Linked DNA regions of Tribolium castaneum. The protein of the gene in region 1 purifies or fractionates together with the protein of each later gene. This does not show direct contact. Links are inferred from orthologs where the notes say so. Each region holds a gene or a part of one and is shown in the gene's direction. Other genes may lie near its edges.

Region 1 (5,173 bases):
TCACCTGTTGAAAATATTGGGATGTTGATGGTAGCTCAAGATGAAAATTCTCGGACAATGCTTTTTGTCTTCGAAATAGAAAATTCTTTACTTTTTTTGTACTTTGTAGTATGAAATTATTACGTTTGCACCCCCGTCTACATAAATATAGACAAATACAGACTTTTTATTGGTACATTATAATGTCTAAACAAGAAACTTTACACATCTATTAGCTGTTTCAAAACTATTAAACCGCCAACATCCCATTTTCTCTCTGTTATAAATTATTCATTCACTTAAAAAAAAAATAAAAGCTAATTTAATTTATACTTTCAATGAGAGATCGAATCAATATTAACTATTTTACAATTTTATCAATCTTATTTAAAAAAATAATTTGGTAAATTGCCACATTGGCGTTTTTATAGTTTTGAAACAGCTAATAGCTCTTTTTCTGGCTTCAGTCATTCCTGCAACAAAACTTTTTTTTTAATAAAATCGATTTAAAAATAAAAACTTGAGCAATTTTCTCACTAATTTTAATTTCGTTGGATTATTTTATTGTTGATATCAGAAATAAAAAAAAATCCGCAACATTTTCACGCATTTGTAAACTGTTGACAACTAAATGATAGGCATTTGACGGATTGAATTAACTAACAACACCAGATAAAACCTCACGGTGCAGCGCGAATTATTTAAATTCCACTTTTACAGTGTTTTTCATATAAATTTACGCAAGTAAAATGCCACCAACAATACATATTCCGATACGAACCCGATTAAATTTTGAAAAATTGAATAGTCATGTCTTGTTTGTTCACTTCTTCAAAAAATACGTTTTTAGCAATTTTTAGTTAGTTAGGGATTAAAATAAATCAATTAAAATCATGTTCTAATGAAAGTCTCTTGATAGAACACATGCCAAAGAAAGAAACAGACATTAGTTTGACAACTACTATCATGGTTTTCCAAAAATTAAATAATTAAATGTTTATTTTTTTATCCTAGTGTTTTGTGACTTTTTTGGTGCGCACACGAGGCGCAGGCCTTGTAAAGTTTTATAAAACACCTTGTATGTCTGTAAGTCAAGCTTTGTCAATAAGCGTTACCATAAGCCGAATCGGTGCAGTTAGGTCATAGTACTACAAATTTAAAATTTATGCACCGTTCCATATTTTTCAAAACACTATATGAATACGGTTAAATATACACGAAAAATGTAAAGTGTCCTACGCGAAAAACCATGACTTTGTCTCAAACATTTTAAAAGAGTCCAAAGACGTTGAGTGGGGGACACTTAAAAACAAATTAAACCTAATCCACTGAAGACAAAAATAGGCCTAACGGACTTTTTTGAAGAAAATTCAATTCGCCACTATTCGATGGATATTCGTATTATTTTGGAAAATATGGAACAAATAAATTAGGAAAAAATTGATTTTTTTTTAATAAAGTTTACTATAATTTTCCCCATTACCTTTATCTTTCACTATAGAGAATTTAATGCTGTATATGTTGGGCTTGTCGTTGTTTAAATGCAGCTATTTTTTATTTTACTGGTTTTAAGAAGTAAGCGTACTAAAACCAGTTAAAAAAATTCTGCCGCTCAAATGAGTAGCTTTTCTGTCTTTATTATTTTCTTTTTCACCTCATGTGAAAAACTCAACCTCAACCACCCCTCCACAGTAAATTAGTATGTAAATTTCGTTTCGCATTTACCCCGAAGTATAGATCACACAGCAGAAAAGTTATGAATAGTCAAGAGTGTTTACCATTTTGTCCACTTTATACTTATTTGTGGCACCCCCTTGTAGCTACTTCCCTGCATCAGCCACTCAGGAAATTTTAGACGAGTTCAGGCCTCGCTTATGTCCAATGAGCAGCCCCACAATCCTCTCAGCCATCCAATACCTTGAAATTTTCTTACCTGTTTGCGTCAAACCCGAGGAAGCTGCCATTAGTTACGATTTATGGTTTGAAGAACTTATGACGCTGTGGAACGCTTGTCATAACGCAAGTGCTTGGGAAGATGTGAGCGATTTCATTGTTTCAGTCCCAAAACTACAATTAATTTTAGCACATGATGTGGATGATTGCGCGACTATCCAGCTACACCATGGGGTATATCAATTGGGAGCCCTACATTCCCATGATGTTTGTGCGATTTTCGCGCAGTTTTCAGTTACCTGTAGCTTATAGACAGAAACAAACCGGCAAACAATACAAAATCGAAATTTCCGCAATGGCGATTTGGATAACATGCGCTTTGAACGGTGATAAAAATTCGACTTTCTTTCATTTGGAAAAGTTCATGCAAGCGCTGGAATCCTACTACTATCCGGCAAATATGGGCCGATGGTCGATGAAGTTGAGGGAATTGTTGCGAAAACTTGCCTATTATTTCGTGCAAAGGGTGCATTGTGAACGATACAAGAAAAAAACGTGGGATACGAACATTCCAGATCATTATAAATTGACCGACGAGGATATTGATAGATTCGTCAATATTATGAAGCCGTGTCTTGAGCAGGCAATGTTTTCGAGACAAGGGGGGCAAGATATCATCCTAGCCTTGCAATATCTGGGGTCCCTAAGACCAAACCTGGTCATTCCAATGACTTTGGATAAATTGTATGCTTCAATGGATAGTCTCACAGAGCCGCACAAACTGACGTCGTCCATGATGGGCGTGACGGCAGTGGCAAGGTACATGGTACAAGGGGCGCGCAGCAACTACCCAGAAGGATTCACCCATGTGCTTCCACTCCTAATGGCCTTACTCCCAGGGATTGACCCGAACGATATCCGAAAGTGTTTAGTGACTTTCAACTTCATGGTTCATTTTATTAACATGATTCCGTTGATCAATTGTTCCGAAGCGAGTAAATATCACGATGACTTGACGGAAGAAGAACACATAGTTTGCGAAGCCAGCGATGGTTTCGAAGATTTCGTTTTGCAATTTTTTGACAGACTGTGTCTTTGGGTCGAGTCTAATTCCCTAGACTTTGTTAGACTAGAACAGGATGCTAACAGCAACAATAATAAAAATCGGGCCGAAGTGATCGCCGAAACGGCCCTTTTCTCGATCATTTCAACAGTTTTACACCAGTGCTCGCCAGAAATTTTCACAGTAAGTAATTGGCTTTAATTGGGTGGTGAAAACGGGAAAACACAGTTAACTTTTTAGGCCGCTCTTAAAAAAGTGTTCAATTTCGTAAGTGACAAAGTAATGGAGATACAAATTTCGGGCAAAATGACGGCGATTATATGCCAAGGCTTTGCCAAAGTCAATCCTAAGGAAACCCTGAAACTGTTCATTCCACACTTGTGTGATATCATCGAAGGCTTAATGAACGAAAACCCAAACATAGAAAAAGAGGAACATCTCGACGCTGAATTGCTTTACAATTTGCAAATTTTATCAGAAGTTGTGGATGCCAGGACCGAACTTGTTACGTATTCCGACAGGTTGATGAAAATCCTTGATAGGACTTTACACATGAGTTCGTTGAGTGGTAGTCAGATGGCATCACGCATGCTTGAAGTTATGATGACCTCACTGACTTACATACTGCCAACTGAATACCGAAGTTGTTCGACACCGTATGACACACATGTTAAGGACTTTCTCTCGATAAGGTGATGCTTCGTTTAAGTGTTTTTTACTTAACATGATTTGGAATTTAAAGAGAGTGGGGCAAAGCTCAAAATATCAAAGATCTGGAAATCTCGTGGTACGTCCCTGGAGATAAGGAAATCGCCTTAGTTCAGTCACTCATTAATAAGTATTTGGTACCCGAAGTTTCAAAACTTAGCAAACACGCCTCTGGAGAGTCAGTCCTGACGAGAGAAGAGCTGCGAAGGTCGCTTAGGATAGTAATTTCGATATTGTCATCACATCCAGTGTTGCCAATCTGGGACGAACCTGCGATACAGCTGTACCAATTCTAAAAACTCGATTAAGCCACTACTAAGTTTAAATGTTTTAGGGTCGACTCGGTTTTAGATCCGTGGGCTTTCAATCTAATCGTGAGCGATTCTCATGCTGTAAATATGCCAGACGGCTCAAACATCCGAAAAGTGATAGCAGATTTGATGCATAAAGTCCAGAAAAAAATCCTAGAAGTGGACGAAGGTGACACTAAAAGCATCCACAACATTGTCCATGTAATTAAATAACGATAGAAGACTCACCCACTCACTCACATTAATTTTTCCAGATCTACAATATACTTCTTTTCAACAAATCACGTGTTCATGATTTCGAGTATCAATGGAAGAACTTCCACTTGGTGAAAAAACTACTCGAAGACCGTTTACACCAAAATAAACTGCACTTGCGACATATCCTTATCAACAGAGTGATGTTGCAGCAAGAATTTAGAATAGAAAGTCGTAGCTGTTCATTCACAGAAACCCACAAACAGATTCTTTTGGACCTGTTTGAACTAAGTGTGTCGCGATATAGCGAGGTACTTCTTTTTTTTTTTTCACCTACCAATGCTAATTACAAATTTCAGGTGAGAATTTCAGCACAGTCGAAGCTATTTTCTGTAGTGTCATACTTCCCATACTCTTACACCGTTCTCACATCGCGTATATTCGAAATCTTAAAACTAAACTCAGAAGAACACCATGAGAAGTTCAAGGGTTGTTTATACATTTTGATAAGTCCGAAAAATACACCAATAGTGGCACGTCACGACTGGAATTTTATTCGCCAATTGTGGCCACTTATCATCAAGTCGATGCCATCCGAAAAACCCTCAATTGTCAATTTGATAAATGCGATAGTCGACGCTGTTAACCGATTTTTCCCGACCATTGCCATTAACTTGGTTTTTCCGCAAAGATGTCTAGACGATGCCACTTTGCTAAGTCAAAATGTGCCCAAATGCGACCTGACCCACTTCCAAAAATATATGGACGAGGGCGAGAAAACGCTACAAATTAAATGCCAAAAGCGCGCAGTTGCGTACAATGAGACAGTTGATGGGCTTTTGGATGCTTGTATTAATGGAAATTTGTAAGTTTTGTCCCAGTTTGTGAATATGATAATAATTCGTTTAAAGGCACTGGAGGTATCACTCAATGGCTGTTACGTTCCTAAAGGTGTTAGTACACTATGACGTTAAATACAACGTGAGGATAGTGAAGTATTTTCTACAAGCCTTAATAAATGAGT
Region 2 (4,000 bases), on another chromosome or scaffold:
ACCTAAAACCAAACCTATTCAAAACAAACAAATATTTAAAACCGAAATGTATATTAGGATCAAAGGACGCAAAAAAGTTTTTAAACTTTTAAAGACCTTCTTGCGTTCCTATGAACCTGATATACATTTTAATTTTAAATTATTCCAAAATTGTTAATTAAAATGCTCCATAAAAATTTACAGGTTACTGTAAACCATTGTTTTAAAAATATGTACATAGATGGCATAATTTTTTATAGTTTCCTGTAAAATTAAATTTATGTATTCGACACCTAGATGTCACTGTCTTAGGAGAGGTAATGACATCCACGGTATAGAGACAGACAGGTAAACCAACTCGCTATTATAATTGATTCTAACGCTGGAGCAAGTTGATAGATGGCAGCACGGTAGACTGGGACTGTCACAATTTCAGAAATTTTCTTTGTTTTTTATAAAAAAATGATGCGAAATTAAAAAATGTTATCTCAGCACCCAAGTTAGTCATCTTGTAACAACTTCTGCTTTTTTCGCGCTGAAATAATAATATTTTCCGAATAGTTCTAAACTTCGGTTCGATGCATTTTCGGCCGCGAAAGACATCGAAACATTGAAGTCAGAATAAATGCTTTCCAGAAAAAAAACTCCACTACCATTCGGTACGGGCATCCTTCAGGTATTAATTGTTCTTCATAAATGTCGTATTTTTAACAACGTGATGCGTGTATCTTTTTTCTTGTAAACATTGTGACAGTCCCAGTCTACGCTGGTGCCATCTGTCAGATAAAATAAAAGCTCCAACTTGCTCCACATTTTGGTTTGCGCCCGACAATGGAAAATAAGGGAAGTTGGTTCACCAGGACTATCTATACATGGTGATGACATCTAATTACTGAATATTAGAGTACTATTTTTATAGGTACCTATAAAATTTTATGTGTCATCTTTGCATGCTCCTGTAAAACAGCGAATTACAGTAACCTGTAAATTTTTTAAGACCATTTACAATTGTATACTTTTAAATAATTATTCGAAAATTTCAAAATTGATTTTGGACCAGGACCGCAGGAGTGCAAAGAGGTAAAAAATATAAAAACCTCTTTGTTTTCTTGTGATCCTAATACACATTAAAGTTTTAAAATGGATTTTGTACCTGGATCAAAAAAGTTAAAATTTCTAAAAATCTTGTTGCGTTCCTGTGACCTTAATACCTACACATTTTACTTTAAAATAACAACAAACTTTTACTAAACTGTTTCTACAAAAAAATGCTAAGGCTAGGCAATTTGGATGCACAATACACACAAGTGTATAGCTGGTTGCAGACAAATCTTTAAATTATTGGTACCACGATTACAAGAACGCAAAAAGGTACTAAAGTTTAAAAATGTCCTTGCGTTTGTATGACCCTAATACTAATTAACTATGGTAAATTTTTAAACTTAAAATAAAGAATTCTATCAAGCGCAGACTGGCTAACCATCAGTAGAAAATGTTACAGTTTCCTATGCTTATAAGAAATTTAGTTCTACAACTTTTACATTTGTATAATAATAATTAATATAATTAACTAAGATATTCATCAAAACCTGCAGCTTTTCTAGCGTAAAAATATTTTTCTTAGCCTTTCTTTACAGAGACCTTTTTATCGAAACTGTCAAAAACGTATGTCTTATTCTGTCAAAAATATCCGCAAGTGACACAGCAGCATTACATGGTTATAAAAACAAAACCGGTAAAGTTCAGTAAAAATCAGTGTTAGAAATGTTTCGCAACCAATACGACAGCGACGTGACCGTCTGGAGCCCCCAGGGCCGCCTCCACCAGGTGGAGTACGCCATGGAGGCCGTAAATTTGGGCTCCGCCACCGTGGGTCTCAAAAGCAAGACTCACGCCGTTCTCATCGCCCTCAAAAGAGCCTCGTCTGAACTATCAGCCTACCAGAAGAAAATCATCAACATCGACGACCACATCGGAATCACCATCTCAGGCCTCACAGCCGACGCCAGAATCCTGAGCCGTTACATGCGGACTGAATGCCTCAATTACAAGTATTCGCACGACACCCACTTGCCCCTAAACCGCCTCATCAGCCAGCTGGGAAACAAGATGCAGTTGTGCACTCAGAGGTACGACCGCAGGCCCTACGGCGTGGGGCTCCTTGTGGCGGGTTATGACGACCAGGGGGCCCACATTTACCAGACCTGCCCCTCTGCCAATTACTACGACTGTAAGGCAATGTCAATTGGGGCGCGTTCGCAGAGCGCTAGGACTTACCTGGAGAAGCACTTGGAGGAATTGTCTTCGTGTTCTCTTGAAGAGCTGATTAAACACGGCTTGAGGGCTCTTAGGGACACTTTGCCCCCTGAAGTCGACTTAACCATTAAAAACGTTTCCATCGGTTACGTTGGCAAGGGACAAAGCTTCAAGATTTTGGTCGATGATGAAACTGGGCCTTACTTGGCTATGATTCAGGGTGAGGAGAGGAGAGGGGGTGGGGCTCAAGAGCCCCCAGCAGGGCCTCTCAGAGATGAGGCGGGGGACCAAGACCAGGGCCCCAGGGATCCGGTTCCAGCTGTAGCAATGGATACGGAATAAGGATAATGGGGCCTTTTCATTTTTCGTTAATCAGTTGTGTTTTACCTCTGAGAAATTGGATTGGTTTTGTGCCGTGGCTGTCGTAAGTGAGGCAGCCACGGCACAGGATCACTAAATATTACTAAACTGTATTCTTTTATTAAATAATCAATAAACGAAGTAATTTGTAAATCGTTGTTTATTTTTTCACCCTAAATGTACAAAGTACGTAAAGCGAAAGTGCTGTGAGAATTTCCTTGACGTATATCTCGCATAGCTTGCTATATTTAAAGAAATTTCAATGTAATGTTACAGCAGAACCTTGATTAGCCGAGTAAAATCAAACTTTTTACTTTTGATTATCCGGTTTAAGGCGGATAACCAACATTGTTTAAAAAATATTTTAACTTAAAATACTTTGACACTTTAAAATTTATTAAACACCTTAGGCGACAGTGGACTTTAAAAATTTTTAATTTCGCAATTGCATATTGAAGTTACTGTTCCAAGACACGTTTATTAGATTTTCACAGCATTTTGTAATGTAGACAGGGTGAGTCTATTACAAGTGTATTTTTTACTAAACCTCAAAAACTAATTATCGCACTGAATTCAGCGTTTGCTATTAAATACTCTATATTTCCCTCTAAGGCTGAATTTTTTCAGAATTTTTCTACAATTTCTTATAATTAAAATTAATTAACTACTCTTAAGTAGTTGCAAAAATGAAAAATGGGTAGAAAAATTCTGAAAAAAATCACAGGCATAGAGAAAGTCATTACGTATTAAACAGTGGGCGCTGAATTGGGTGCAACTATTAGTTTTAAGCAGAATCACCCCATGAAAGAATAATTAGTTTTTCCCGACTAATTCTTTCTGCTTACTTTCCAGTATTTTCTCAGCCTCTGCAATGTAAGCATCTGCAATAGCGACGATTTGTTGCTCCGAATTTCTGGCCATGTCCTCCGAAACTTTGTCTTTTTTCTTCAAAGACTTGACTTGTTTATTCTGGACGTCTCTGATCCCATCGCGACATTTAATAAACATGGTTTTAGCGCTTTTTGCCAAATTTTCCCTATGTTCTGTTGTAACCCTAAATTTGTTTTATTACCACTGTTGAAAAAAGCTTGTCAATAAAAATACTTAGGTATGGGAATAAAAAGAGTTGTCCCGTCTTGTTGTGGATTCAAATTCATTCCAGATTTTTCGATTGCTTTCAAGGCGGCAGGGATAGCTTGAGGGAAGACTGACATATTTATGACCAAAGTTTTCGGGTTTTTCCTGATGATTTGGGCGAGTTCCTGTAGTGAATGTGTTTTACCATCCAACTCGACAGGGATGCTTTCCACTGAACCTAAAACAACCATAAAAAATAATAAAAATAGGGTACAATACAAGAGATTCTTAGTACCTGTAGTTGTTCTCACTGAAAGGTGTTTCACGT

Evidence for each region. Proteins that work in one complex are often made in the same cells at the same time.
Region 2: the proteins of proteasome activator complex subunit 4 (region 1) and proteasome subunit alpha type-1 purify together in Homo sapiens (affinity purification with mass spectrometry; 4 studies listed by BioGRID and IntAct, counting the BioPlex papers as one, with this or other methods). This does not show direct contact. The link is inferred for Tribolium castaneum from reciprocal best matches to the Homo sapiens genes PSME4 and PSMA1.

The regions. Positions count from the first base shown.
Region 1 is NC_087396.1:18,346,579-18,351,751, reverse strand, and holds part of proteasome activator complex subunit 4, read left to right. Parts: intron 1-1,799; coding exon 1,800-2,016; intron 2,017-2,062; coding exon 2,063-3,118; intron 3,119-3,175; coding exon 3,176-3,627; intron 3,628-3,677; coding exon 3,678-3,926; intron 3,927-3,977; coding exon 3,978-4,155; intron 4,156-4,208; coding exon 4,209-4,460; intron 4,461-4,508; coding exon 4,509-5,014; intron 5,015-5,060; coding exon 5,061-5,173. UniProt on the Homo sapiens protein: Associated component of the proteasome that specifically recognizes acetylated histones and promotes ATP- and ubiquitin-independent degradation of core histones during spermatogenesis and DNA damage response.
Region 2 is NC_087394.1:35,800,825-35,804,824, reverse strand, and holds proteasome subunit alpha type-1, read left to right. Parts: upstream 1-1,634; 5' UTR 1,635-1,743; coding exon 1,744-2,577; 3' UTR 2,578-2,748; downstream 2,749-4,000. Other genes in the region: mRRF1 (ribosome-recycling factor, mitochondrial), read right to left, coding at 3,409-3,649, 3,700-3,910, 3,968-4,000. UniProt on the Homo sapiens protein: Component of the 20S core proteasome complex involved in the proteolytic degradation of most intracellular proteins. This complex plays numerous essential roles within the cell by associating with different regulatory particles.